Linked DNA regions of Elephas maximus indicus. The protein of the gene in region 1 binds, or shares a complex with, the protein of each later gene. Links are inferred from orthologs where the notes say so. Each region holds a gene or a part of one and is shown on either strand. Other genes may lie near its edges. The genes, in order: B9D1, TMEM107, TCTN1 and TMEM231.

Region 1 (7,662 bases):
GATTTCCTAGTCTGCAGTCTTTACAGGAGCAGATCTCCAGGTCTCTTCTACCACAGAGCCACTGGGTGGGTTCAAACCACCAATCTTTCAGTTCACAGGCAAGCACTTAACCATTGTGCCACCAGGACTCCTTCTGGCCTCTTTACTGCTCCTCAAAAGGCTCTCCTGCCACAGAGAGAGCCTTTCTTTGCACTTTTTGCTCCCTCTGCCTGGATGGTTCTTTCCATAGATTTCCACATGGCTTGTTCCCTCACTTCCTTCAGGTGTTTATTCAAAAGCTACCTTCTCAGTGAGGCCTTCCCTGACCACCATGTCTAGATTCCTAAACCCAAACCAGTCACTGTCAAATCAATTCCGACTCAAGGTAATTCCATGATATCAACCTCCCTCTTTGCCTTCATACCCTCCCCCCATTTCTGACTTTGTTTTCCCTACAGAACTTATTACTAACAAACTAGAATATTTACTATTTATTATTTTCTGTCTACCTACACAAGAATGTGTACTCCAGGAAGACAGGGACTTTTGTCTGGTTTTGTTCACCTCTGTATCCTTAGCACCCAGAAAACAAACAAAAAAAAAAAACCAAACCCATTGCCGTTGAGTCAATTCAATTCATAGTGACTCTATATGAAAGAGAACTGCCCCATAGAGTTTCCAAGGAGTGCCTGGTGGATCTGAACTGCCAACTTTTTGGTTAGCAGCTGTAGCACTTAACCACTATGCCACCAGGGTTTCCCAGAAGACTCTCAATATTTATTCGATAAATAAGTGAATGGAAAAAAAGTACTGTCATCTTAGTTGTACAGATGAGGAAATGGGAGACTCAGAAAAGTTATCTAAGCTGGGCTTCCATTTCCCTAACTGCTGTGAGGTATAAACAAGTGCTGTGCAAAGAGTAAAGTATGTGCAAACTGAAGACATCACTATAATCCCTCTCCTGGTGGAGAGACTGTTCTCTAGGAAGCCTAGGAAGTGAGAGATCCTGTTCTGTCTTGTGACTCTCCAAAGTCCTCCCCATGGTCTAAGGAGAGGCCAAATGACGAGGGACTGGCCCAAAGTATCTACAGCTCATCCCTTCCAAGTTGGCACTCTGGAGCCTGCCTGCTGCATTGCACCTGTGTTCCTCTTTGCCACCTGCTGCCACACATAAGCTCACAGGACAGGGTACCTGAGTGAGAATAGTCTGGCGGTGGGGGTTTATTTGGTAGCCCAATTGTGGCTGTGTTCTCCAACTCCAGCTTTATCAAAAACAAACTCACGTTTGTTTCCAAACTCTGTCTCCCTCTAACTTGGTTCTGAGCTGGGAGGGGAAGGGGTATAATGGACACCTTCAGAAACCCCAATAATCACGAATGCTGTCAGCGAGGGAGGCCCAAGAGTTCAGCTTACCGCCGTGGGAGCCCAGTCCTGCCCGTACACGAAACAGTACTTGCAGTAGAGGTCGTCATACTCTGGAAACTGGAAAAAAGCACACGTGAATTCTGTTTACTGGGACTCATGTTGAGGCCCACCAACATGTCGGCTAGGCAGGTGCAGCCAAAAGGACTTCTGAACATGAGGCACCTGGGCCAGGGCCCAAGAGCCAGTTGGACACATGGATATGGCGTTCAGCAGAGAGGGCTGAGGACTGAACTGTGGGAGTCCAGAGGAGGGTTCCCAGCTGCTACAGCCCCTGGGCCTTTGCTCAGGCTCTGCTTTCTGTCTGATATGCTCTTCCCACTCCTTCATCTGGAAAACTGCTGCTCATCCTTCAAAACTTACCCTCCTGAAAGCCTGCCCTCTTGTCCAGGTTCCTTCAGCACCTGGGCTTTCCTCCATCAAAGCACTGATTGCCTGTCTGTTTGCCAACCCATTAGATTGTGCATAGGAAGCACAGGGTGGGCACAGAGAAGGTCTAAGGGGATAACGCCGAAGTGAAAGGTCTGAGAACCAGGAAGCCATCAGGACACATGTCATGAGGAAAGACCCAGCCCTGCTGAGAGCCCCTGATGGGATAGAACAGGAGAAAGGCAGAAGACAGCATCAGGTGCTAGACCAAGGGGGAGGTGGCAGGATGGGTGCATGGGGCAGAAGCATCCATGAGGAAACTGAAGGTAGGAAACACCTAGTAAGTATCAGGCCCTGGGCACAACTTTACCTAAAACATCTCATTTAATCTTCACATATAAACACCATTTCCAATACCCCATAAGGTCACTGCTAAGGTGTAGCAAAGCTTTGAAGTCAGACAGACCTGGATTCAAACCCCAGCTCTGTCACTTGTAACACAGGGATGTTAATAACACCCATCTCACAGTGTTGTTGTGCTGAATGAATGGGAAGGGCTAAGGGCCACGTCTGGTGCAGAGTGAATACCTGACACACATTGGCTTTTATTATGATTATTAACGTTTTTATAAAGTGTTGGGAGGTGGGGAGTAGCGTCCCTTTGGTATGACAGACACACCTCCCTGGATGATTCCTGGCCACCACCACCGTCGTTGGCTAGGGTTACCCAAATCATCCCCACTCCAGTCTGAGTTCCATGATCTGAGGCTCACAGACGCCCCGACTCGGTCACGGGCGGAGGAGGCCTGTGCGCCGGCCCAGTTGCCCCAGTGACGCCCCGTGAAGCTCCTGCCCGTGATTCAACAAGGCCAGGGGTCAGAGGCTTGACCAAGCGTCCCCCTGGCACGAGCTCAGCCTCTGCAAGCCTCAATTTCCACGCTGCGCATTAGGAACGCCTAGCATCGTTGCGCCGAGCCCCTCACACGCCGGTTTTCCTCCCCCGCCTCACCAAGGGAGACAGAAGCTCCGAGGAACGACAGGCCTCGCTGGACCGCAACGCAGCCGGAGGGGCCGAGGGGCGTATCCCCGGGGGAGGCTGGGGAGGGTCCCGGTCGCTCACCTGGGCGCTCTCCACCTGCCCGTTGACCATGAGTAGGAAGACGCTGGGACCCGGCGCCGCCATGGCAGCGCGGGGGGCACCGGGAGCCGACCCTGGTTGCAGCGCGGTTGCTAAGAGGCGCTGAGGTTACCTTGGAAACAGACGGCGTGGCGCGCGGGACATATTTCTTCACTAGTGCGCGTGCGTGGTATTGCGCAGGCGCAGTTAGCGGACGCTGCCGGGAGAGTCGAGGAGGGTACCGTGGGGCTCAATGTGCTGGGACTACGGTGTCGCCGCCTATCAGTGCGAGGCGGGGGCCAGGTGCCTAGGACAGGGTCGGCTACCTGGGCTCTGGAGGGACGTTACCGAGCTGAGGCCAGGCAGCGCCCCACATCGGGCTAAGGTGGTACCCGCTTGTGTTTTTAAACTCTCCTCCCAAAAATGTTTATTAAACAAACTAAGCCACCACTTCTGAAACTAGGGAAACTGAGGCCCACAGAGGGGCAGTGCCTGGGACTAGAGCAGAATCTCCGACCTGTGAGGCTCTGCTCAAATGACAGTTCCTCTTAGGCCTCTCTCGTCCTCTTGCCGTTAACCATGGTTTCTGTTTGTACGTTTATTGAGACTCATAATTTGGGCCAATGCTTATCTCCCCCTCTAGACTGCCAGCTGCATGAATATGGAGACTGTCAGTCTGGTATCCCCATTGCCTGACACATAGCAAGCACACAATAAATACTTGCTAAATGAATGAATAATTGAATATGTCCCCATTTTACAGAGTAGGAAACAGATTCAGAGAAGGAAGGTGACTTGGGCAAAATCACAGCAGTGGAGGCCCTGGTGGCGTCGTGGTTAAGAGCTAACCATAAGGTTGGCAGTTCAAATTCATCAGGCATTCCTTGGAAACTTTATGGGGCAGTCCTACTCTGTCCTTTAGGGTCACCATGAGTCAGAATCAACTCGACAGCAACAGGTTTGCTTTTTGGTTTTAGGTGGCTGAGCCAGGACGCAAACTCACAGCTCCACAGACTAGAGACCCTCACCGCCCCCTCTGCCTTGTCCTGGGTCACTTCTTGGCTCAGCATCTGAAGTGGCATTAGAGACCTCCCAAATCCAGGAAATGAAAGGATGCACAGGAGTGTAGACTTTGGGAAGCCAGACCCTGAGTGGGCTGCCAGGTCACCACCCTGCTCAACAGCCAGCTGCCAGCTTAGGAGCACACAAGGGGGCTCCTGTCAGTCACTGGTGGAGGAGAGGGAAGGATAGGTTACAGCCCAACCAGCTGAAGCCCTGACCCCAGGTAAACAAAGATACCTGATTGGGGAGAGGGGGCTGTGGGTAACCAGGGTTTATTCATGTGATAGAGGCTGGGAGCTGCAACAGGTGGGGGCTGCACAAGTAGGAGCTGTTCAGTTCCTGGGCACTTGGCCGCACACCACCCCACCCCATGTCACACCCTGTCTCTTCCTTGTTAATATGCTTTCTCTGACAAATTTTACCAGTCTTGCCCAACTCCTTCCCTTCTGTGACCTTTGAGACTCAGGACTGTGCCAAAGTTAGTTTGCAGCTAAATGCTTGAGATGATCAAATAACCAGGGGGCTTCTGTGCTTTAAAACCTGGCCATGCCAAAGCCTACTTCACATTTGAATAGGACACAAAAGGGGGACTTCCCCCAAGGGACAGGGGCCTCTGGGGTGGCCACCAGAGGTGCAGAGAAGCCCAGCTCCCTGGGTGTTGGTGAATGGGAGATCCCAGGGTAATGTGGAGTCTACTCTCTTTAGGAGGAACTGGAGGGAGTGTTAAGGGATCTTAGGGGTTTGTTCAGGGCTCAGCTGGAGTCGTTACCACAAGTTCAGGTGGACCAGCTGGGGCCTGGTGCACTGAGAGCCCTCAAGTAGGCTGACATCCAGGGTGGGACAGTCAGGCTGGAGGCGAAAAGTGTCTTTGCAGTTGCTGGGGGACAGTGGCCTCAGCAGCACACTGTGCAGCTCTAGGGGTGGGGCATACGGGTCTGTGTGGGGATGGGGGCCCTCAGCCGATGTGCCCAATATGGCTGTACTGGTGGTTAATGGATTGAGATGCTTCTCCACCAGTGGGCACATAGCTCCTGCCCTGGTCTCCCTGCCCCAGGATGTGCCTCCTGGCTTCTACTCCTCGACTTTCCTCTTCTACGTCACCCAGCACAACCCTGCCCTCCACTGGACTCCTGCCTCACAATCTCCTCAAGCTCATGCGATCTTGAGCACCCTGGGGCAGGGAGTTTGGGGGACAAGCTGTTGCCTGGTAGGTGTCAGACATCCAGGCTGGAAGCTGACTCAGCAGAGCAGGAGGTCAGTGCCACCCTCCTCTGCAGCCCCCAGCACCACCCTGTCTGTACACCTCCCCAGGCCAGTATCCTCTGGCCCCCAACCATCCCATGCTTCCTCTCTCATCCTCACCAAAATCAGACTAAAATCCTTGGGCCCAGCAGGGAGGCCAGGAGCCAGAGAAAGCTCGGGAACCTCAGCATCCAGCAGCACAACGGAATAACGGGGTCCATGGTAGGTGGTCTGGGGTCCAGGGTAGAACCCAAGGCAGGCTTCAGGGGTTACTATCCCCAGCCTGTCCCCAGCTTACTAAGTCACTGCCCTACTCTAGGCCTCCATGTAGTCATAATAAGAGGAGGGTGATGCCTGGATGACCTCATTCTCCTGTTAAGTTGGGCCTAGGCCTGGGAAGGTCTGGGGGAATCTCTGGCTCTCTGAATCCTGCCTCAGGGGCTGTACCTTTCCCCTTTGCCCATGAAATTCAAGGGAGGAAATGCATGCAGAGGCTTCTTCCAGGGGTAAACTGGCCAAGGGAGCTGTAGAGAAGTGAGTCAGACAGCCCTCGGCTCCAATCCAGACTGCCCCTCACAAGCTGTGTGACCTTGGGCTGAGGATCTAATTTATCTAAGTCTCAGCTTCTGAGGAAATGGGGATTATAAGGCCCCTGCCTACCAGGTTTTAGTCAGTGGTAGCAACAATCTCCCATGAAGATGATGGGAATGCATTTGGAGTCCAGCTTGTATTGCTGAAAAACACTGTAGATATTTAAAAACCATTTGTCCTTTCTGAATGACGCTATAAACAAACCAGACTTAATAAACATATGTAGAAAATTCCACCCTAAAACAGCACAATATACACTCTACTCCAGTGCACATGGATCATTCTCCAGGATAAACCACATTTTAGATTATAAAGCAAGTCTGGATATATTTTAAAGAATTGAAATCATACTTTCTCTGAAATCATATTTTCTCTGACCATAACAGAGTGAAACCAGAAATCAACAACAGGAAAAACCCTGGAAAAAACACAAACATATGGAAATTAAACAACACACTGTTAAAGTACCAATGGGTCAAGGAAGAAATCAAAAGAGAAGTCACAAATTTCTTAGAATCAAATGAAAATGAAAGCACAACATATCAAAACTTAGGAGTTGCAGCAAAGACAGTACTCAGAGGGAAACTTGTATCAGTAAATGTCTACATAAAAAAAGAAAAATGTTTTCAAATTAACAGCATAACTAGACAAGCTCAGGAACTAGAAACAGAAGAGCACGCTAAGCCTAAACCTACCAGAAGAACGGAAATGATAAAGACCAGAAATAAAAAAACAGAAAAACAACAGAGACAATCAATAAAACCAGAAGATGTTTCTTTGAAAACATCAATAAAATTGACAATCTTTTAGCTAGACAGACAAAGAAAAGATGCAAATAACCAAAATAAAAAAATGAGAGAGAGGACATTACAACTGACCTGATAGAAATAAAGAGAATTATGACTGAATATTATGAACAACTGTATGGCAACAAACTGGATAACCTGGATGAGATGGACAAATTCTTAGATGCACACAACCTTCCCCAACTGACTCAAGAGGAAATAGAAAGCCTCAACAGACTCATACAAATGAAGAGACTGAATCAGTGATCAAAAACCTCCCCCCACCCCCGAAAAAAAGTTCCGGACCAGATGGCTTCACTGTGGAATTCTACCAAACATTTAGAGAAGAATTCACACTACTGCTTTTTAAACTCTTCCAAAAGATAGAAAAGGAAGGAATGCTCCCCAATTCATTCTATGAAGCAAACATAACCCTGATACCCAAACCAAAGACACCACAAGAAAAGAACACTACAGACTAATATCTCTTACGAATATACATGCAAAAATCCTCAACAAAATACTAGCAAACAGAATCCAAGAACATATTAAGAGTCATACACTGTGACCAAGTGGGGTTTATTCCAGGAATGCAGGGATGGTTCAGCATTAGAGAATCAGTCAACATAGTATACCATTTCAATAGAACAAAGGAAAAGAACCACATGACCGTCTCTATGGATGCAAAAAAACATTTGATAAAATCCAACAGCCTTTCTTCATGACAATTCTAAAGATTGGAATAGAAAGAAAATTCCTCAATATGATTCAGGGCATATATGAAAAGCCAAGAGGCAATATTATACTCAATGGAGAAAGACTGAGAGCTTTCCTCTTGAAATTGGGAATGAGACAAGGGTGCCCGCTCTCACCACTTCTATTCAGTATTGTATTAGAAGTCCTAGCCAGAGCAATAAGAAAAAGAAATAAAACGTATCTAAATTAGACAAGAAGAAGTAAAATTATCTCTATTCACGAATGATATGATCCTATATATAGAAAATCCCAAAGAGTCCACAAGAAAACTTCCAGAGCTAATAGAGATATTTAGCAAAGTTGCAGGGTACAAGGTCAACACACAAAAATCAGTTAGGT
Region 2 (7,557 bases), on another chromosome or scaffold:
TTCATAACAAAAACTGAAAGAAGTGATCGCCAGTAAAATCAGATAGGAGCAATCAGGATGTTGCTGGTCCTGATTACGCGGAAACGTTAATCACGGATCATGCGAGCTCCAAATCATCATTTTAAATCTGCTCTCCAAAAGGAGAAACAGGTAAGGATTAACCTTACTGACGATAACCTGAAAACCTTACCCACTCCGCACTCAATGAAAAAAATTGCGCTTACACCTAGGGTGAGCGTAAAACTCATTCGCTGAAGCTACCTAACGTTATTTAAGGCTCCTCCGTTTCTGTAGCAATCTTTCTTTGTGGATTTTTAAATATACTTTTTTTCATTCGCTTCCGAAAAAAGAATAAATCAACTCTTCCCAGAATGCTCCGCGTAATCACTTGCTGAGCCGGAACAGTGGCATCCCCTTATTTACATATCCCCACCCACTCCCTTCCGCCAGATGTCTACCGTAATAACCAAAATAAAAGGTACTTACTGCCAGGCGCTCCTTGGAAACTCTATGGGGCAGTTACACTCTGTCCTACAGGGTCGCTATAGGAATCGACTCGACGGCACCGGGTTTTTTTTACTATCATACAGTCTGCAAGGCTGGAAAACAGTCTTCCGTTTCTTCAGTAGCTTGGCCACCCCAAATCTCCCTTGAAATTTTTATAACTCTTTTAAAAATATATTTTATTATGTTTTAGGTGAAAGTTTACACAGCAAATTAGGTCCCCATTTGACAATTTTTATACAAATTGTTCCGTGATATTGGTTACAATGTTCACAATGTGTCAGTATTCTCACCTTTACTTTTGGGTAAATGATAGTCTCATCTGGTTGATTTTTTTTAAGGGAGTACATTCCTCAGGGGTGATGTTGTTTGAAATTTTTAACACAAGTCTTGATCTTATTAAAAATATATTTTATTACAAAATACTACATAAGACGTGAATAATCCTAGACGCGGAAGATAATCATGCCAACGCTGACATCCTCCTCTAGATGCAGGTGCAGGGCGAGGACGGAAGTCTATGCCTTCCTGCTCCTGTTGCTCCAGCCTTTGCCCCTCCATTCCCGTCATTAAGGTGATCACAAAGGTTTCTTTTTCAGTCCAAAGACGGTGACGAATAATGCCATTTCAGTGACCGCTGGGAGGGCGCTGTGGGAGGTAGGTGGTGGATTCAAGGACCCTTAATAAAAATACCCAAATCCCCAAACCAGAGACCCCACCGCCAGCATGCAGTGGGGAATATTTCAGGATGTTGAGTGGATCTGGCATCTCACACATGGAGGACACCTTCAGATTTGAGGTAAACCTTCCTCTCCCATTCCCAAATACCTTACCTGCAGAAGACAAAAATGTACCAGTACGTGGTGCACTCCCAACGCTCAAATATGAAGAAGGATAGGGCCACGGATGCACTACAGTGTGCCCCGATGGCTTGGGCACACCCTAGAGTCAAGGAAAGCCTTGGGATGGCAGGTAGTGATGGGCCAGAAAAAGCCCGTGGTGGGGCTGGCACCTGTGCTCAGGTTAATCTCTAGCTGCCTCACCACACTGCAAGATCAGAGCCTGAAGCCTTCTGAGTTGTAGAACAGCCTTCTGAGTAGAAGCCAGAGGTGAGGCTGCACACCTGGGATCCCAGGCTACTCCCACCCAATCATTAGGGGGCAGCCTGAACCCTCCAGGTGAGGTAAGAGCAGGTTCCCCACCTACCCCCAGGCCACACAGGCATGCTCACAGCAGCCTGATGCTGTTAGCTGGAATCCCCCTCCACCTCCCTGGGACTCCTGGCCCACAATTCAGGTGTCAAGCCGCTCTCCTGATCCATGTCCCTCACTTCCTTTGTCTTCTCTGAGTCCCCATATTGCTTTATACCCTTCCACAATCCTACAGTGTAGTGCTGGTTGTATTGCATTACCTTCAAGGTAGAGATGTTTTACCCCCCTTTCTGGATCTCCAGTGTCTGGTGTATAGCAGGGACTTAACACATTAATGAAGACTGTATTAAATCCCTCATACTGTCTGTCTAAGAAGATCTCCCAACTGGAAAGATTTTGTCTGTGCCTTAGGACAAACACTATTGCGCCAGAAAAGCCTAGTCAGGCGGCTGGAAATGGGCCGTGTGGGAAAGGTGTGCAGGTGGAAAGGATACAGATGAGGCTCTGGGTGCTGTTGAACATGGAAACTCCTGAGAAGAAACCGGCCAACTCCACTGCAAAGAGGCCCAGGGTGACAGAGAGAGCTGCCACCAGCCTGTAAAGAGGAAGGGTGCTGGCTCAGCCCTTGAGGCTTTTTTCTAAGACCCCTCCACTCCGACCACCGCTTCATTCTGACCATCCCGCACAAAGAGCTCACTGAACATCCTGCTTCTCGTACTCCTCGGGGGTGAATGTGAGAGGCAGGCAGGCCTGGATGTTGCTGTCCTGGGGAGCCGGGCAGAGAGGAACAAAAGTGTGAAAAAGGGGCCGGCTGCGGGTCCGGCGTGAGGCGGCGGGGGATGGGGGAACCCCCGAAAGGGCCGATGTCAGAAAGTCCTAGGGAAGGGGCGGGGTAGGACTGGGACTATCCTAGGTGGGGCTAGGGGTGACAAGCGGGCGGCCGTAGGTCTTACCCGGGACCAGAATAAAGTGATGACGATAACCAGATGTGCCAGGAGCGTCAGGAAGCGAGAGGGCACGAATCCGGAGACCCGGCCCATGGCCCCCGGGGGCAGGGGCACTGGCCAGAGCAAAGGCCGTGGTCTCTGAAGCTGGAAGCTCTCAGTGGGTCCTGAGGTCCCCGCACCGCCCGCCCGCGCCCACCAGCGCGGAGAAACTCGTATTCCTCCTCCCCTCCCGCGCTGGCACCGCCCAGTTGCCTTGGCAACTGCGTAAATAGGCGCTGGGCCACGTTCTCTAGAAATCTCGCGAGAGCAGTAAATTCTCGAGCCGCCAGGGGCTTCCAGGGCAGCGTGGGTCCGAGATCCGCTGCAGGTGGTCGCGAGTCGGAACTGAGTTGACTGGCAGCTCCTCGATGGCAGCAGAGCCGTCTGCCCCTGAGACTGTGCCGTGTGGCGTGGCCTGGCACCGCCGAATCTACCCGGCCGGGCGGGCGAGCAGAAACCCGGCCTGCTCTAGCCCGGGGACAGCCCCTCGTCCCCAGATGCTCACACAGGGAACGACCTAGCCCCCAGCCCCGGCTACGGTGCGCCGGATGACCCACCACTGGAGACCGCTGCCACTGCCACGCCGGGTTTGGGACACTGGCGTGTATGTACAGATAGATAGACAAAGATAAAACAATGTCTGGGTGAAAAAAATAAAACACATGAGAATTCCTTGTAGTACTTTTGCAGTTTTTCTATAAATCATTTTAAAATACAAAGTTTAAACCAACACACCTTCCAACAACAAGCTATTTTGTAGATATCGACAAAATAATTCTAAGTTTATATGGATTGCTTTGTAAATTTTGATTTTAATTTTGTTCTGTAATTATGTTAAACATTTATGTGGTTGCATAGTGAAATCTACCAAAAAAAAAAGTACATTGAGAGAAGTCAGGCCTCCATTCGTGTACCCTCCACCCTCCATCTCAGGTAAACCATTTTATTAGTTTTTGGTTTATCCTTCCGTTAAAAAAAAATACATATGTACACACTATAGCCAAAAACCAACCCCAATGATTCCAACGCATAGCAACCATATAGGACAGAGTAGAACTGCTCATTGAATATACCATGGACTGACGGAAGGACAAACAAATCTGTCTTGGAAGAAGTACAGCCAGAATGCTCCTTAGAAGCAAGGATGGCGAGACTTTGTCTTGCTTACTTTGGGCATGTTATCAGGCGTGACCAATCCCTGGAAAAGAACATCATACTTGGTAAAGTGGAGGGTCAGCAAAAAAGAGGAAGATCTTCAGGGACATGGATTGACACAATGGGCTTAAACATATCTAATACTGTGAGGATGGCACAGGACTGAACGACATCTCATTCTGTTGTAGATAGGATCACTATGAGTCAGAGCTGACTCAACAGCACTTGACAACAACATCTATGAGGCAGATAGAAAACCGAGGCACAGAGCAGTGTATTTACCTGCCTGAGGTCACAGAGCCTGTAACTGATGACAGCACCAAAACCAAACCATACCCAGTGCTGTTAAGCAAACCCCAGTCTGACTTAAAAATCTGAGCTTTTAGCCACCAGACTCTTACCTCTCATCAGTCCTGACTATAATTTGTAATCATTTGATTTATTACTATACTCATTTATTATGTCTCTCCTACTAGAACAAAACGAATACAACAAATAAATGAAGTTCCCTTGAGGTCAAAGCCCAGGAGAGCCACTGCCATTCCGAAATGTGTGTAGGGGCTTGTGGGAGGAGGGGTAGTAGATCAGCAGCTACTCAGCTTCAATCAGTTGTCTTAAGGGAAACTGAGTCCAATGTTGCCAGATTCCTTGCTTGTTTGTTTTTTCTGAGAGACCAGAAATCCAGCTTCTTATTTCAATTCTAAATGTTGGTCTTCAATTTAAAAATGAAAAAAATAACCATGATGGCAATACAGTACACCAGGCTTCAACCTCTGGACCAGCACTATCCAATAGAACTTTCTCTGATGATGGAAATATTCCATATTGTCTATGTCTAATATGGTAGCCAGCTAGCTTCATCTGGCTATTGAACACTTGAAATGTGGATAGTGGGACTGAGAAACTGAAATTTTTTTAAAAAATTTATTGGGATAGCCCCATGTGGCTAGTGCCAGCTCTAGAAGTCTCTTTCTGTTAGTTCTGGGAGAAGGTCCTTGTCATCAGCCTTTCCCTGGCCTAGGAGCTTCTCAGCACAGGAACCTCAGGTCCAAAGGATTCAGCTCTGCTTTCTTGGTGGTATGAGGTCGCCCTCCCCACCTGTCCCCATCCTTGCTTCCCTCTTTTATATCTCAAAAGACATTGACTCAAGACACAACCTAATCTTGTAGATTGAGTCCTGCCTCATTAACATAACTGCCTCTAATCCTGCCTTATTAACATCATAGAGGTAGGATTTACAACACATAGGAAATTCACATCGGATCACAAAATGGTGGACAGTCACACAATACTGGGAATCATGGCCTAGCCAAGTTGACACACATTTTGGGGGGATACAATTCAATCCATAACAATTACCGATTTACAGATGTAGGCCCTGAGGCACAGGGAGGTTCCATAAGTAGCCCAAATTACACAGCTAGTAAGTAGCAAAGCTCGTATATAAATCCTAGCAACCTGGTTCCAGAGCCCACATACTTAACCACTATATTACTTGACCTTGTGGGCCAACCTTCATCCAAAAGGTGATGTGGCACTGATTTTAAGCTAAGGAGTGAGGGAATCATGTTTGAATTTTACAAAGATGATTCTCTTGACTATTCTGGAGGCAAGGAGAACAGAGAGGAGTCTATTACAATAATGGGTCAAAAGAAGCTGGGGCTTGTCAATGGGAAAGGAGAATGAGGACTGACAGGAGAATTATTAAGGAAATTGGCAGGGCTTGGTGGCTTATTGGAAATGGGAATTGCGGGAAAGGAAAGAGTCAAGGTTGAGTCCCAGCTTCAGCTTTGCCACTCACTGAGCGTGCAGAAGGACTGGGAAAGGATGACAGGGTCAAGTAGAGGTGTCTGAATCTAGAAGTGGGGTGGTATGGAGAGGGAGTGGGATCCAGGAGCCCTCAGCACACAGAGATAGCTGAAGCCAGGGAGCATGCATGGCTTGAGGAAAGAAGACAGAACTGGAAAATGAGGATTTAAGGTGAGGACAGAAAAAGAGGGATGAGTGAGGTGGGGCTGGGGGAGGAGCGGGTTAAGGGACGGCCAGCAGACAAGTGTCCTGACAACCAAGGGAGAAGAAGATTCTTAGAGGAGATGTTGTCCTGAGTCCAGTAAGGCCAGGCGAGAGGAACATCTGTGGGCTTTGACATTTCTGTGGTCCCTTAAAACTTTCGGTAGGGCCACTGTGCACAATGTGCAAAAATTTGGCTTGGAGGGCAAGGAGCGAGATACTGTATGACCTTCTCTCACATGTAAGCCTGTTGAACACCTCTCATCCTTCAAGACACAGTCGGAATTTCTTCCAGTTCCGGCTGTTCCTCTGCAGAAGTCCCAGCTCTGTCTAGCTACCCAGTTGCTGTCTTCTGACTGGTGGTGACCCCAAGTGTCTCAGAGGAGAACTGTGCTCTGTAGGGTTTTCAACGGCTGATTTTTCAAAAAGTAGAGTTGAACCTCCAACCTTTTGGTTATCAGCCGAGTATGTTAACCGTTTGCACCACCCAGGGACTCCTCCGTCTCCCTAGTGGAGCTTTAAAAAAATACTGAAGTTTCAAAACGAGACTAAAAGGGGCACACCAGCCCAGGGGCAAGATCTAGAAGGCAGGAGGGGACAGGAAAGCTGGTAATAGGGAACCCAAGGTCGAGAACGGAGAATGTTGACGTGTCCTGGTGTTGTTAACCAATGTCATAAAACAATACGTGTACTAACTTTTAATGAGAAGCTAGTTTGTTCTGTGAACTTTCATTTAAAGTACAATTTAAAAAAAATACTGACATTCATGGTGATAGAAATTAGAACAATGATCGCCTCTGGGAAGCGGGGGTGGATTGGGAAGGGATAGGAGAGAACTTTCTGGGGCGATGAAACCATCCTGTATCTTGAAGAGTTGTGGGTTGCGCAGGTGTATGATTTTGTCAAAATTCATCAAACTGCATTTCATTGTATGTAAATTATACAAAAATATCTACCCTGGACCATTTAAATCAGAGTCTCCAAGCCTGGGGCTTGTGCGTGGCTATTTTTTAACGCTCCGCAGGAGATTGTAATTTGCAGCCGGGGAGAAGGTGCACTGATGGAGGAGCTAATCTCTCACTTCTTCAGGCTCTGGAATGGCTCCGTCACACTCTGCCTGGTATCTGTCCTTCCATCCGTTTCTGGGCAGGTCCATCCCAGCTGGCCTGTGGTGACCAGCTCAGGCCCTCTTGGTTGTCTGCAGGACTCCAGCCAGAGTCGGGGTCGGAGGGACCGCTGAGCCTGGAGCCTGTAAAACCACTGCCCTGTCAGTGCCGCCTGCCTCTGCTCACCCAGCGGAATGGGCGGGAGAACGCAGGCACCACTTTGCGTGTTTTGACAAAGGAAAGAAGGTCCTCGGCTCTCGTGTCTAGGTTGCCAGCACGTTAACCGCCTGGCGGATCAGTGACCATAAGGAGGGCTGGCAACTTTCTCTCCCGCCGACCTCGTGGCGCAACGGTAGCGCGTCTGACTCCAGATCAGAAGGTTGCGTGTTCAAGTCACGTCGGGGTCAGTCGCTTTTTCTTAGCTTCATCACTTAATTTTTCTCGTTTTCAACTATGTTCAAGCTCGAGCGTGCAGGTCAGGGAAGAAGCACCTCGTAGGGGCCGAGAGGGCAGGGTTTCTGGCACAAAGTTCCAAGGCCGCACCGTCGGAGGAACACAACGATCTCGCAGTGGTTCTTCCTCGAATCCCGGTGCCCTAAGTATGGGCGGATAGCCCAGCTCCTGAGGCGCGCCGTCCAGAGCCAT
Region 3 (7,006 bases), on another chromosome or scaffold:
ACTCAAACACAACTGCGGAAGAGCTGCCTCCTCAAAGCAGAGTCAACCTTAATGACATGGATGGAGTAAAACTTTCGGGATCTTCATTTGCTGAGGTGGGACGGCTCAAAATGAGAAGAAACAGCTGCAAACATCCATTAATAATCGGAACATGAAATGTATGAAGTATGAATCTAGGAAAACTGGAAGTCGTAAAAAATGAAATGGAATGCATAAAGATTGATATTTAGGCATTAGTGAGCTAAAATGAACTGTTATTGGCCTTCCTGAATCTGCCAATCATGTTGTAGTCTACTACGCCAGGAGTGACAGATTGAACAGGATTGGCGTTACATTCATCGTCAAAAAGCATTTCAAGATCTACCCTGAAGGACAACACTGTCAGTGATAAGATAATATCCATACACCTACAAGGACGACCATTTAATATGACTATTATCCAAATTCATGCACCAATTACTAAGGCCAAAGATTTTTTTACCAACTTCTGCAGTCTGAAATTGATCAAACATGCAATCAAGATGCATTGATAATTACTGGTGATTGGAATGAGAAGGCTGGAAACAAAGAGGAAGGACAAGTAGTTGGAAAATATAGCCTTGGTGACAGATGATGCTGGAATTGTATGAAAGAATTTTGCAAGACGAACGACTTCTTCACTGCAAATATCTTTTTTCAGCAACATAAATAGGGACTATACATGTGGACATTGCCAGACGGGATAAGCAGGAATCAAATCGACTACATTTGTGGAAAAATGTCAGAAAAAGGCCAGGGGCTGACTGTGGAACTGACTATCAATTGTTCATATGCAAGTTCAAGCTGAAGCTGAAGAAAATCAAAACAAGTCCACAAGAGCCAAAATATGACCTTGAGTATATCCCACCTGAATTTAGAAACCATCTCAAGGACAGATTTCACACATTGAACATTAACGACCAAACGAATTGTGGGATGACATCAAGGATATCATACATGAAGAAAGCACAAGGTCATTAAAAAGACAGGAAAGAAAGAAAAGACCAAAATAGATGTCAGAAGAGACTCTGAAACTTGCTCTTGAACGTAAAGCAGCTAAAGCAAGTGGAAGAAAGATGAAGTAAAAGAGCCGAACAGAAGATTTCAAAGGGCAGCTCTAGAAGACCAAGTATTATAATGAAACGTGCAAAGACCTGGAATTAGAACACCAAAAGGAAGAACATGCTCAGTATTTCTCAGGCTGAAAGAACTGAAGAAAAAATTTTAAGCCCCAAGTTGCAATATTGAAGGATTCTATGGGCAAAATATTGAACAGTGCAGGAAGCATCAAAAGAAGATGGAAGGAATACACAGAGTCACTGTACCAAAAAGAATTGGTTGACATTAAACCATTTCAGGAGGTAGCATACGATCAAGAACTGATGGTATTGAAGGAAGAAGTCCAAGCTGCACTAAAGGCATTGGCGAAAAACAAGCCTCCAGGAATTGATGGCATACCAATTGAGATGTTTCAACAAACGGATGCAGCACTGGAAGTGCTCACTCACCTATGCCAAGAAATTTGGAAGACAGCTACCTGGCCAACTGACTGGAAGAGATCCATATCTGTGCTCATTCCAAAGAAAACTAATTCAACAGGATCTAGAAATTATTGAACAATATCATTAATATCACACACAAGTAAAATTTTGCTGAAGATAATTTAAAAATGGTTGCAACAGTACATCAACAGAGAACTGCCAGAAAGTCAAGAAGAGGATGTGGAACAAGAATATAATTACTGATGTCAGATGGATCTTGGCTGAAAGCAGAGAATACCAGAAAGTTGTTTACCTGTGTTTTATTGACTATGCAAAGGCATTTGACTATGTAGATCACAACAAATTATGCATAACATTTGGAAGAATGGAAATTCTAGAACACTTAATTGTGCTCATGAGGAATGTGCACACAGACCAAGAGGCAGTTGTTCAAACTACACGGTTTAAAAACATGAAAGGTATGCGTCAGGGTAGTCTTCTTTCACCATACTTATTCAATCTGTATGCTGAGCAATTAATCTGAGAATCTGGACTATATGAAGAAGACTCATTAACAACCTGCAATATGCAGGTGACACAACCTTGCCTGCAGACAGCGAAGAGGACTTGAAGCACTTACTGATGAAGATCAAAGACCACAGCCTTCAGTATGAATTATACCTCAACATAAAGAAAACAAAAAATCATCATAACTGGACCAATAAGCAACATCATAATAAATGGAGAAAAGACTGAAGTTGTCAAGGATTTCATTTTACTTGGATCCACAAAGTGCTCATGGAAGAAGCAGTCAAGAAATCAAACGAAGTATTGCATTGGGCAAATCTGCTGCAAAAGACCTCTTTAAAGTGTTAAAAAGCAAAGATGTCACCTTGAGAACTAAGGTGCACCTGACTCAAGCCATGATATTTTCAATCGCCTCATATGCAAGCAAAAGCTGGATAATGAATAACGAAGACCAAAGAAGAATTGGTGCCTCTGAATTACAGTGTTGGTGAAGAGTACTGAATGTACTATGGAATGCAGAAGAATGAACAAATCCATCCTGGAAGAAGTACAGTCAGAATGCTCCTTAGAAGCAAGGATGGCAAGACTTTGTCTCATGTACTTTGGACATGGTATCAGAAGGGACCAGTTCCTGGAGAAGGACATGGTGCTTGGTAGAGGGTCAGTGAAAGAGAGGAAGACCCTCAACGAGCTGGACTGACACAGTGGCTACAACAATTGGCTCAAGCATAGCAATGACTGTGAGGACGACGCAGGACCAGGCAGTGTTTGCTTCTCTTGTACATAGTGTAGCTATGAGTTGGAACCGACTCGACAGCATCTAACAACAACAATCTTTATGGGAGCAGATCACCAGAGCTTCCTCCTGCGGAGCCGCTGGCTGGGTTTGAACCATCAATCTTTCAGTTAGCAGCTGAGTACTTAACCGTAGCACCCTGGCCACCAGGGTTTCTATTATACTTATTAGCAGGAAAAAAATGATACCTAATTTTAAACAGATTAGAAGCCATGACTGTAGCAATAATAATAATAACAACAACCACCAGCTCACCTCAGAAGACACCAAAGAATATGAGGAGTGGTTAACACTGCCTTGTGCCTTGCAAAAAAAGCCTTAACCCCCCCCACCCCCCACCCCCAGGTACTCCTGTGTCTTAGCTTTTTCAGGCTCCTCATATGCAACATTTTCCAAGCACAAAATTCCAAAGCTGAAATGTCTTTAGTCCTTCTAAGGCTGGCACAGACTCTAAGGAATTGAGAATGCCAATAACCCTAGAGAAACAGATGGACATTTTATATCACAAACATTTATGAATAACCCAGACACTGCAGTGTTGGAAAAATAGGGAACAGATGTTAACTTCTCTTTGTGTCCTTCCATCCAAATGAGGTAACCTGCTAAGGCCAGGGCGGAAGGAAGGGAGAAAGGATCCTCTGGGATGAAAGATGAAAAAAGCCTGGCTCAAGAGGGTATCACCTGACAGAAACAGGTCACTTGTGAAATGAAAGATCCAGTTTTCCTAAGATTTGCAAAGTGTATCTGAGTTGATGTAACCCTTATTTCGACTTGGTAAGATGTCATAAAACGACTTTTTGGTTATGTACTGACTGAGATTGGACAAGAAGGTATGATGAGATTATTTCCCAAATTGTGTCCTAGTTGGAATCATAGGATGTTAGACTTGAAGAGGAACTCACAGGTCATATAATCATGAAGATAAAAAAAAAAAGAAGTTAAAGCCAAAGAGCACTTCATCAAAGTCTAATGCAACAACAGCCTAAAATTTCAAAACAGAAAACAGGACAAAGTGATTCACAGATGTTAAGCAATAAAAAAGAGAGTGAAATCCTGGAAATGAGGAGAAGGTTTAAAAAAGAAAAAGTCCTCGATTTAGCAATTATGAGATGGAGGTTTGGAAAAAAAAATTTTTTTTTTGAGGGAAAGTTTCATCAGTTATTAAAAGTGGTTCAGAATTTCAGTCAGATGCCAAAGCAATGCTATGAAGAAAAAGTTGGAACTGTGTGCCACCCATGAGTGATCCAGCTATATTTTTCTACGCTTTCTCCGGAATGCCACAGGAAGGTGCTAAAGATGTTGCTTTGATGATTTAGTTTTGCTATATATATATATTTTTTATTTAATAAACTAGGTATATGTGCTGTTTTGGCATCTTTCTGAATTGGTAAATAAATGTTTCTTGAATAAATACCATGATACGTTTAAGTATTTCGACATCTGCTTCTTAAATGTGAGATTATTTGTCCACGGTATAACTAACCTCCGTGGGTTCGGGTCCCCTCTGTAAATAAACCAGTTTAGGATGAAGGGACTTCCCTCTAAGTCTTGTGGTCTCTTTATCACTTTGTAGGATTACAGTTGATTTGCTTTGTGTTTTAAGACTGAAAATCATTCTATTTAATTTTTGTCAGTTAAAAAAGTCATTAAGTGTTCATTTGTCCCCCTTACCACAGAGCGGTGGACAGAAGTTACTTGGAGACCTCTCGGGATGCGTCTACAACAAAAAAGGGAAAGGCTGGGTCGAGCGCGTTCTGGATGGAGAGAATTCAAGGACGGTGGTGCGACGCCCATACTTCTTCAAAGGACTCGTATTTCGTAGCATCAGGACAAAAAAAAAAGAAAGCGGTTGCCAAAGTTCCGTCCCCTCACCGGTGGCGTCAGGGCACTTGTGAAAAATCCTGATTCCAGGACCCTGCGCGACGCCAACCCAATCAAGGTCTCCTGGTTGGAACCCGGAAATCTGCATAGAAGAGCCGCAGTCGAGCTGGAGAACGACAGCTGGGATTTCCCCGCCCCTCGTTTCCGCCATGTCGCGCGGCTTCGCGCCCTCCTTCCCGTGATGCCCCGCGTTCGGCCACCGCGGTTGCCAGGCAACGCGCTGTCCACCGCAAGGACCGCGCGGGGGTTCTGCAGGGCGATGGGGCCGCGGGGCTTCCAGCCGCTCCTGCTCCTGCTCCTGCTCCTGCTCCTGGGCTGCTGGAGCCCGGTGAGGGCCCAGACGGGGACCACCCCGGCGGTGACAACGGAGGGCCTCAGCTCCACCGAGGCAGCCCTGGCGACTCTCGGAGCCTCCACGCCGTCTGGGCCCCCTGCCACTCCCAGGGCGCGGGGCCCCTCTTCCGGTCCCCGGCCCACCCCGGTCACGGACGGTGGGTACCAAGTGCCAACTCCTGGGCTCCACAGTGATTCAGCCAGGAGAGGGTAATGATAATGATGATAGCTAAAGTTTACTGCACACTCAGTGTGTGCCAGACATTGCCGAGTGTTTCACAGGCGTTATGTAATTTCTGCCAACAACCCTGAGAGGTAGATGATAGGGTCCCCGTTATACAAATGAGGAAACCGAGGCTCGGAGAGCGTAATGGTGCAAAATCAAATATTTTAAAGCACTAGCAGAGCTCTTGGGCAATATTAATGTTAAAGGTAATAAATACTGAATAAAGCGTTGCAGCCTTCCAGCGGCAGATGAAATTTAATCAGAAGTTTCTAGACAGTTGTGGAAATTAAATGGATGGAATGTGTTCGGAGTTTTTAGTTGTATTAAAGAGACTCCAAAGGTCTAGTTTTCTAAATGTCAAGGCCCTCGTCTATCGACTTGAATTCTGAAAACTCTGGATTCCTCTTTAGTTAAGTTTGCCATGGGAAGATATGGGGTGAGGGATTTTGCCCACTTTTTAAGATTAATATGTAGAGCTGATTAACATTTCTCAGAAAGTGTCCCTGGAATCGGACAGTTACATGTTTAGTGAGTATTTTATAATCTGATTTGCCATGGATGACTTAGGGGGTGTCTATGACCCCCTGAGACTGAGTGCAAAATCTTGTGAACACGCATTTTTCTGGGATGAGGGTCCCTAGCAATCAGTAGATCTTCAAAGGAGTTTAGACCTCTAAGTAGATAAATAGCTGGATAGGTTATCTGACTGTGAAGGTTGAAAGAGGTGTGCAGTAGGTTTTATCCCCACTTAAGAAAACAATACTTTTTCTTAAATTGAGTAAGTCTCAGTACTAACTAGAAAAGTCATTATTGGCTGGCATTCTGAACTCTAGGACTTAACTTTAATAACTGAACTGTTATTTCTCCAAGGGGCCTCCCTTATAAATCATGAGTGGTTTGTCTGAAAAAGTATGGTGAAGTATAGTTGTTTAATAGATATGAACAGAATTCTGTTTCATATTTAAACTGTTGATTGGTGAATTAGTAAGGAAGTGAAATCAGTGATAAATTGTGACAGAATACAGCAAAGTATTCAACACCCAAAATTCTCCAAGGTTTTTGGAGCTGGCTTGTCTTTTATCTACGTTAGTCCTCCACCTGTTAATGTGCTTTCTCTCCCAAATGAAGCTATTCTTGAGCCGTCATTATTAGGGCTTGGGTTCAGGGCTCTTTTTGCCATTATAGGGGATTAATTTATACCGATCGTCATCTTTTTAAAGAATACTTTAGGCCTGTGACAGTAATGATAAATGACAGTCATGTATTAACAGCTTGCTATGCGGTGGAGCCCTGGCAGCACAATGGTTAAGTGCTATGGTTGCTAACCAAAAGGTCAGCAGTTCAAATCCACCAGCCACTCCTTGGAAACCCTATGGGGCAGCTCTACTCTGTCCTATAGGGTGGCTATGAGTTGACATCAACTCGACAACAATGGGTTTGGTTTTTGGTTTTGCTATGTGGCAAGCACTGTGGTAAGCATTTCAGCTGTGATATATCTCACTTCACCCTCGTAACAACCCTATGACGTTATCACTATTTTTCAGATAGGCGAAGTACTTGCTTAATTTAAGGCCACATGGCTGGTAAGTGGTGGAGCAGAAAGCTGGCTCCAGTAGAGAACTGGACAGCCATTTGCAAAACTGGTTGCAGCCAGTGTTGGTGGAAGAGAAGAGTGGTAACTGTTCATCTTGAATCTGAGCTCTGCTCATTAGTACCCTACTCTACGATGCAGGCATGTAGACA
Region 4 (7,515 bases), on another chromosome or scaffold:
TTTGATCCATTTTTAGTTAATTTTCATATATGGTGTGAAGATGGGTCCAAATTGTTTCTTTCGTTGTCCCAGCATCGTTTGTTGAAGAGACTATTCTTTCCCCTTTGGATGGACTTAGTATGCAGGGACTTTTGATGAAGAATTTGGCATGGATCATGGTAAAAAAAAAAAAAAAAAATCCTTCTGCCAAAATGAAAAATTTTAAAAAGGTTCAAAAAGATCACAACATTAGAAACTTTAGACTTGTTTTCAACTAAATATAAATCTGCCCAAGGCACTGCTATGGCTAAGAGGCTCTACTATGTGTTTGATATAGCAAAGAAAAATACTTGGGGCCAATATAACAAGATGAGACTAAATGAGCACACCAGCCCAGGGGAAAGGACTAGAAGGCAGGAGGGGACAGGAAAAAAGAAGAACAACAACAACAAAAAAATACTTGGACTATTACTGACTTTTTTAAAAGTCAATGGATGGGTGTAAATATTGTTGAATTAGCAAAGTTTTGTTATATATATATGTATATATTTTTTATCACAATAAAAGCAAGTCAGTAGACGGGATCATTCGTTTATATATAAACAAATATATATATATATATTTTTAAGTAGTTTGTCTTGGTTATCTAGTGCTGCTATAAAAGAAATACTACAAGTGGATGGCTTTAACAAAGACAAACTTATTTTCTCACAGTCTGGTAGGCTAGAAGTTCAAATTCAGGTGCCCGCTCCAGGGGAAGGTGTTCTTTCTCTGTTGGCTCTGGAGGAAGATCCTCGTCATCACTCTTCCCCTGGACTAGGAGCTTCTCACCAGGAACCCTGGGTCCAAAAGATGGGCTCTGCTCCCAGTGCTGCTTTCTTGGTGGTATGAGGTCCCCCACTCTCTGCTCACTTCTCTTTCCACTTATCTCTTGTAAGATATAAGGTGATGCAAGCCTAACCCCAGGGAAACTCCCTTTACATTGGATCAGGGATGCAACTGAGTAAGGATGTTACATTCTACTCTAAACCTCTTTAGCATAACACAGTCTTGCCTCATTAACCACAGGCAGAGATTAGCTTTTACAACACACAGGAAAATTACATCAATCATGAAATGGAGGACAACCATACAATACTAGGAATCATGACCTAACCACATTGACACATATTTTGCGGGGGCGCACAATTCAATGCATAACATAAAGATCTAATGGAAAATAAGGACCATGTCTTTTCATCAGAATTAAAAGCTGGAGATCTTTGTAACACCTCTTGAAAGATTAAACCCATTACCACCACCTCCTAGTACCCTCAGGAACTGATTTCTTTTGTCACTTCTCTTCCTTAAAGAGATGAAGTCAAAAAGACAAAATAATAGTTTCATGATTCTCGACACTATTATAAAGCATCTTTGTAAGTTATTTATTCTCAACCCTGACATAATAAACCAATGAAAGAAGTAAAGTAAGTATCTAGTTCAACGTTAGCAAACTACAGCTGATTTAGGAGATAATATTGGAGCTGTTATTACCTGTCTTAGAATGTGACCCAGCTGGAGTAGACTCACAAGGACTCACAAGGACACATTAACTGGTCCCTGAGGTATAAAGATGTTAGAAGACTCTTGGAAAATATCTTTTAGGGAAACTTTCACATAAACGTATCATAAAACAGAACACAGAGGAGTTTTCGTTCTTCTTCTGTTAGCATTTAGTGAATAGAAAATTTGTTGGACCAATGAAGACCCTCCTGACCGTCCTTACTGAAACCTGTGCCAAGGATTGTTAAGAAAGACAATTCAAAATATAGGGTAACAGTTTCTAGCTAATCTGTGAAAAGGTGAAGCTTTCAATGGTTTTGCCCGTTTGTAATGTTAATATATACTGATGACTCTAATATTCTCGGGACCTGGCAGACATTGCTCTAGAAGCAAGCTCGTCCATTTTCCCATTCTTGCCTATTCTGTAATATTTCCCTGGACTCGGGCAGACATGGCTGTGGCAGCATGTTTGTCTTTTTTCCCGCTTTTGCTTATTCTGTAATATTTCCTTGGACTCGGGCAGACAGCATGCTTGTCCGTTTCCCACTTTTGTCTCTTTGAACATATGCCGAATAAAACTTTCTTTTTGCTTTACTAAACTTTGTGATGTTTTTACCCTAGAACACGGCTCACAGACAAAATCTGGCCTGGTGCCTGTTTTTGTATAGCCCACAAGCTTAAGAATTTAAAAAAACATTTAAATGATTTAAAAAAATTAGTAACATTTTGTGACACATGAAAATTATATGAAATTTACATTTCAATGTTCATAAATATATTGGAACATGGCCACGCATTTGTTTACATATTGTCTATGACTGCTTTCACGCTACAATCACATAGTTGAGCAGTTGCACCTGAGACTGTAGACACGCAAAGCTTAAAATATTTTCTAGTTGGCCCTTTACAGAAAATGTTTGCCAAACTCTGATCTAGATAATCAACCACAAAACTCACCTTGGTCTCATTCCCCTGATTAAAAAGAAGAGTATTATTTATTTTCGGTTTTGTTTTCACTTTGACCGTTGTCTTTGTTCTCCACCTCACAGGATGTGTGCATGTAAACTTTAAATGTTTCATCAATCCTTCTTGTGAACTGTTATTTACAATAAACAAAAATAATTTTTAAAAATCCTTCTGCCATGTCCAAAACACTGGTTAGAAAAAAAAAAAATTCATTTAAGGAGTAAACCAATGGCTAGCAAAGCTTGTAACCAATATTTAAAAAGAGGTAGCAAAGTACACCAGAGAGCACGGTTTTTAATTCTCCCGGAACCCAGATTTCTAGGGTGCATGTAAGACAGGGAGCAAAGGCCCTGAGATCAGAGCGTGCCTGTTTGAAAAATAGCAAAGAGACTGGTGTGGTTAGAGGCGAAACAAGTAAAAGAAATAGACTATACGATAAGGGAGGTAATAGGAGGTTAAGTGTGGAACCCAGAGACTTAGCAAGAAGACAAGGAACAGAGGGGCCCCCAAATCTGCAAACAAAGTAACAGGAAATAGGCCAGGGCACAGAAACAAAAGCTATTCCCTAGAACAGTGGGGCAGGGTATTTTAAAATAGCCCACAAACTTCTTTAAAGTTGCCTTTCAGAAGCAGCTGGAGAAAACCAAGCCCAGAGACTTGAGCAGAACATGCACCTGTGACCACTGTGTGACCTTCCACCAGGGACAGTGAGGAGCTACAGCCTAGCTGGGAAATCGAACCCAGGGAATGAGAGAGACTGTGCAGGTGTGACACCCCATAATAAGTCCTGCTACAATCCCAGAGGCCTCCTGGACAGGAGCCATCTTGGAAAGCTACTGCACGTGCACCTTAGTTAATATATATCCGCCTGTGCCTATGAATAAACATGAATCTTTTCCCACCGAAGAACTTTTTAAAAACTCGGGCCTGTCCTTTGTTCTGTAAGAGGAGGGTCAGCATTGCCCTAGGCCCTCCTCATCTCTCTTTGCAGGCCTCTTCAATAAAGCTTTGCTCCTGTGGAAAACTACGTGCCTTACCTGCTCATTCTTGACCAGTGAGAGGCAGGAACCTTATTCTGGTAACACATGGAGTTGGGGTGACCACACCCATGCCATTGCTCTGATGTGATCTTTTGAATCTTCAGCCTTGAACAAACTGGTCTCCTAGAAGTCACCTTTAAGCCAAATAGTCTTGCCAATTAGTAAAGACCATTTTGCCTTGGAGGTTGAGCTCTTTTGAGAGTTCAGTTTCCATAAATAGAAGCTCCAAGGTGGATCTGGAAGCTGTGTTTTAGGGTAAATTGTTATTATGAAAACACTGTTCTGGTCATTTCCATGACAGTGTCCATAAGATGGGATATAACTATCTTTGGAAGTTCTGTTCTCGTTGGAAACAGTTTGACTATCAGAAGTGTTGCCTGATTTACAAATCATATTATATTAAATAAAACCATTAAAAAATGGTTTTGGGTTTATATTAAATAAACTTGAAATCAATTTCTATTATTGGCTTAATATGATCTTTGTTTTAACATAATAATTATCCTTTATTCCTCGAAGAGTGTGGGATTTCTGTCTTTCTGTTTCTGTGTCTGGCTGTTGAGTGGAAGGCACGGAAAATTTGGAGACAAAAGAACGTGGCTTTGGTCTTAACCCAGGACCAGATCCAGGACCGCAGCCACATTTACGTCCTGTGCGTTTTCCTCCAACGCAAAGTGTGCTCTGAGTGGTTGCACTTTAGTATAAACCACATTGGGGCTTAAACAGATGGCTCATAACGAAGTATTTTTTGTCATCCTTTATGAAAATGCTATTTTACACAAATGTTAACACAGACGGTTAATTAAAATTTTGGTACATGGAAACATCCTATTTCCACTCAGCCTTAGAAAGAACGCCACAGTTAAAGCGAAGTCGACCATCCACCAAAAGCACCGCCTGCCGTTAGCCCCACCCCTAACAGATCACTGCCTCCTTGCTATTGGTTCGTTTCACCCCTCGGTTGCCATGGAGACCAAGAATATGGCAACCGGGAGAAGCCAAACTTATTCCTCCCTTTCGAATCTCCGCGAGGTCGCAGCGTGCTGCGGACCCCCGCACGTCGTTCATGGCGCTCTACGAGCTCTTCTCTCACCCTGCCGAGCGCAGCTACCGCGCTGGGCTCTGCTCCAAGGCCGCGCTGTTTCTGCTGCTGGCCGCCGCACTCACATACGTCCCCCCGCTGCTAGTGGCCTTTCGGAGCCACGGTAAGCCAGCCCCCAAGCGCTGCGCAACACGGCTCCCCGCGCCTGGGCAAGCCGCCCTGACCTCCTCTCCGCCCTCTTTACCTCAGGGTTTTGGCTAAAGCGGAGCAGCTACGAAGAGCAGCCGACCGTGCGCTTCCAGCACCAGGTACTGCTTGTGGCCTTGCTGGGACCGGAGCGCGGCGGGTTCCTTGCCTGGAGCACGTTCCCCGCCTTCAACCGGCTGCAGGGGGACCACCTGCGCGTCCCGCTCGTTTCGGTGCGTGTTTTCCGCCCCTGCCCTGCGGCCCACCCCGAGTGGGCGGGAGGTGAGGGTAGGGGCGACGGGGGACGAGCAACCCCTGGCCGAGGAGAGCCCAGCTTGGGTCTTAAGGGTCCGCGAATACTTGTTTACACAGGCTCGTGGGCCTGAGCTTACGTTTAATTTCCAGGCGAGTAGATAGATAATGTTTCGTTTTGATTCTCCAGGAGGTCCACGACCGCTGGAAAAGTTTGTCATTGCTTTCAGGGAACTTTGGGGCCAGAAGCCTGCCAACAGTCTGTCTCTAGATCTCCTTACTTCTGTGGACCTGGCCTGATGGAGGGGTGGCCGTGACAGTGCCTTTGTATTAATGACCCCATCCTGTCGCTGTAATTGCACATCGTAACACCGTAGCCGCAGAAAGATCAGGTATTTGCCCAGGCGCTGATTGGTTAAGCGACCATCCCAGCGAGTGCTGCTGGCTAAGTCACACCTTCCTAGGCTGCACCATCCAGCACTATCTGCACGAAAAGAAGCATTTACTGTCTGTAAAGTAGTACAAAGGTGCCTTGGTTGCGCAGTGGTTAGAGCGCTCAGCTGCCCGCCAGAAGGTCAGTGTTTGGAATCCACCAGCGCTCCGCAGAAGATGCTGGCAGTCTGCTTCCATAAAGAGTTACATTCAGCCTCGGAAACCCCATGGGGGCAGTTCCACTCACCAAACAGGTTGCCTTGAGTCAGAATCAACGGGATGGCAATGTAACACAGGTAGTCCCGGACTTAGAATGGGGTTCCATTCCTATGAAGTCAGTTCTGACATAAGTCGAATACTTAATTTTTTTCCCAATTATTATTGCCTTTTATTATCTGTATCTTTATAAATCTGATCTTTATTTATCTTTTGGGATTGGCATGAGAATGATAACATCGGCAAATTACGCTACTGCAGCATTGTATGTAGTACGTTTACTAATGGGTGAGATATACGAAAAAAAGAAAGAAAGAAAAGGATGGTAAGTGTGGTTCCTCCTAGCTGGAATACATTGTAAACTGGGGAGTACCTGTATTTGGTTCAGAATAAGTGAGCGCTTCCTTTGCAGTCAACCCTTTCCACTCATCTTCTGAGAACATCTTCCTTTAGATGTGTGAAACTTCTGGTCTTCCCTTTTCGAAAGCTGAATCTCTGGACACCTCTGAAATAAGAGCCTAGGAGCTATAAAAAAAAAAAAAAATACTTGTTTTAATTTGCTGACAAAAAAAAATTCAGACTTTTTTCCAGCAATTCAATAAGATGAAATTAAAGAAAAAAGTCTTGTCATATGAATAACTATAAACAAAATATAGTTCTGTTTGTCTTTTTTTGTGGTTACTTTATAAATTTTTCTCACATTTTCTTCTGATTTCAAAAATGCTTGCCCATTGTAAAATATTATAAAGGAGTTACAGGTATAACCTGACAGAAAATGAAAGGCTCAGTTTGGTATGTGTATCAGTACTTGTTGATCAACCTTATTCCTTTTAAGTTCTGCAAATTATTTCGTTATATGGAAAAACTATAATGTATTTAGCCAGTTCCCTGTTGATGGATATTTGATTTGCTTGCAATTTTTCACTGTAAGAGTCAGTACTGCAAAGAACAAGATTTAGAATACCTCTTACATCTTTAAATGCCAAATCGTGAGGAATTGGAATAGAAGCTGTTTGTTGAAATTGAGAAAAGTACATAGAAAATTAAATAAGCAAATACAATAATTATTAACTTCGGGGAAATAAAAAGTAAGAAAAGTGAGGAAGGGAAAAGTAATTAGAGTTATGAACAGTGTTCTACCAGAAAAACCAACGAAACCCATTCTTCTCAAAGAGACCCTGTAGGACAGAGTAGAGCTGCCCCACAGGGTTTCCAAGGCTGTAATCTTTCAGAAGCAGACTGCCACATCTTTGTCCTGCAGAGCAGCTGGTGGGTTTAAACTGCCAACCTTTTGCTTTACAGCTGAGCACTTAACCACCATGCCACCAGGGCTCCTGAACAGGGTTTACAGCATCATAATTATATTGACTAACCAAAATAACAGTTTAACTGAGAAAGGTATGGGTATGTGGTGGGGCTGGTAGAAGTGGGATAGGGGAACGAAAAAGCTAAGTCTTTACCTTTCCTTGTGGAAAGTCAATAGAGAATGCCTAAAACTGAGAAATGGAGAAGTACTAATGGCAAATGTTATTTATAGACATGGAGATGTGTTTCTAAATAATCAGATAAATGAGATCAAAGATTTGCCTTTGGTGGGATAGGTGGAAGTCTGCTTTTTTAAAATTGTTTTTAAAAATAAGACTGGATTAGGAGAAATTTCTTTGAATAGCTCCTCATAATCATGACATATTGCCGGTTTTTATTATTTGAGATTATAATACCTCTGGAGAAGCGTGACCGTGGATGAGGGGTCAGTGTCGAGATAGACTTACTTTTCACTGTATACCTACTGTATTTCTTGCTTTCCATGTGCATGTATTTCTTTCCCAAAAGTGGAAACATTTTCTTTTTTTCAAACAC

What was found.
Region 2: B9D1 (region 1) and TMEM107 share a complex: the UniProt entries of both Homo sapiens proteins name them as parts of the tectonic-like complex. The link is inferred for Elephas maximus indicus from reciprocal best matches to the Homo sapiens genes B9D1 and TMEM107.
Region 3: B9D1 (region 1) and TCTN1 share a complex: the UniProt entries of both Homo sapiens proteins name them as parts of the tectonic-like complex. The link is inferred for Elephas maximus indicus from reciprocal best matches to the Homo sapiens genes B9D1 and TCTN1.
Region 4: B9D1 (region 1) and TMEM231 share a complex: the UniProt entries of both Homo sapiens proteins name them as parts of the tectonic-like complex. The link is inferred for Elephas maximus indicus from reciprocal best matches to the Homo sapiens genes B9D1 and TMEM231.

What each region holds. Positions count from the first base shown.
Region 1 is NC_064820.1:213,491,985-213,499,646, reverse strand, and holds the start of B9D1 (B9 domain-containing protein 1), read right to left. Parts: upstream 3,015-7,662; 5' UTR 2,954-3,014; coding exon 2,891-2,953; intron 1,462-2,890; coding exon 1,393-1,461; intron 1-1,392. UniProt on the Homo sapiens protein: Component of the tectonic-like complex, a complex localized at the transition zone of primary cilia and acting as a barrier that prevents diffusion of transmembrane proteins between the cilia and plasma membranes.
Region 2 is NC_064837.1:12,589,119-12,596,675, reverse strand, and holds TMEM107 (transmembrane protein 107), read right to left. Parts: upstream 2,829-7,557; 5' UTR 2,696-2,828; coding exon 2,609-2,695; intron 2,421-2,608; coding exon 2,353-2,420; intron 2,251-2,352; coding exon 2,150-2,250; intron 1,435-2,149; coding exon 1,338-1,434; intron 1,153-1,337; coding exon 1,083-1,152; 3' UTR 507-1,082; downstream 1-506. UniProt on the Homo sapiens protein: Plays a role in cilia formation and embryonic patterning. Requires for normal Sonic hedgehog (Shh) signaling in the neural tube and acts in combination with GLI2 and GLI3 to pattern ventral and intermediate neuronal cell types.
Region 3 is NC_064840.1:9,153,113-9,160,118, forward strand, and holds the start of TCTN1 (tectonic-1), read left to right. Parts: upstream 1-4,002; 5' UTR 4,003-4,110; intron 4,111-4,499; 5' UTR 4,500-4,885; coding exon 4,886-5,195; intron 5,196-7,006. UniProt on the Homo sapiens protein: Component of the tectonic-like complex, a complex localized at the transition zone of primary cilia and acting as a barrier that prevents diffusion of transmembrane proteins between the cilia and plasma membranes.
Region 4 is NC_064839.1:41,214,513-41,222,027, reverse strand, and holds the start of TMEM231 (transmembrane protein 231), read left to right. Parts: upstream 1-4,500; 5' UTR 4,501-4,593; coding exon 4,594-4,732; intron 4,733-4,818; coding exon 4,819-4,988; intron 4,989-7,515. UniProt on the Homo sapiens protein: Transmembrane component of the tectonic-like complex, a complex localized at the transition zone of primary cilia and acting as a barrier that prevents diffusion of transmembrane proteins between the cilia and plasma membranes.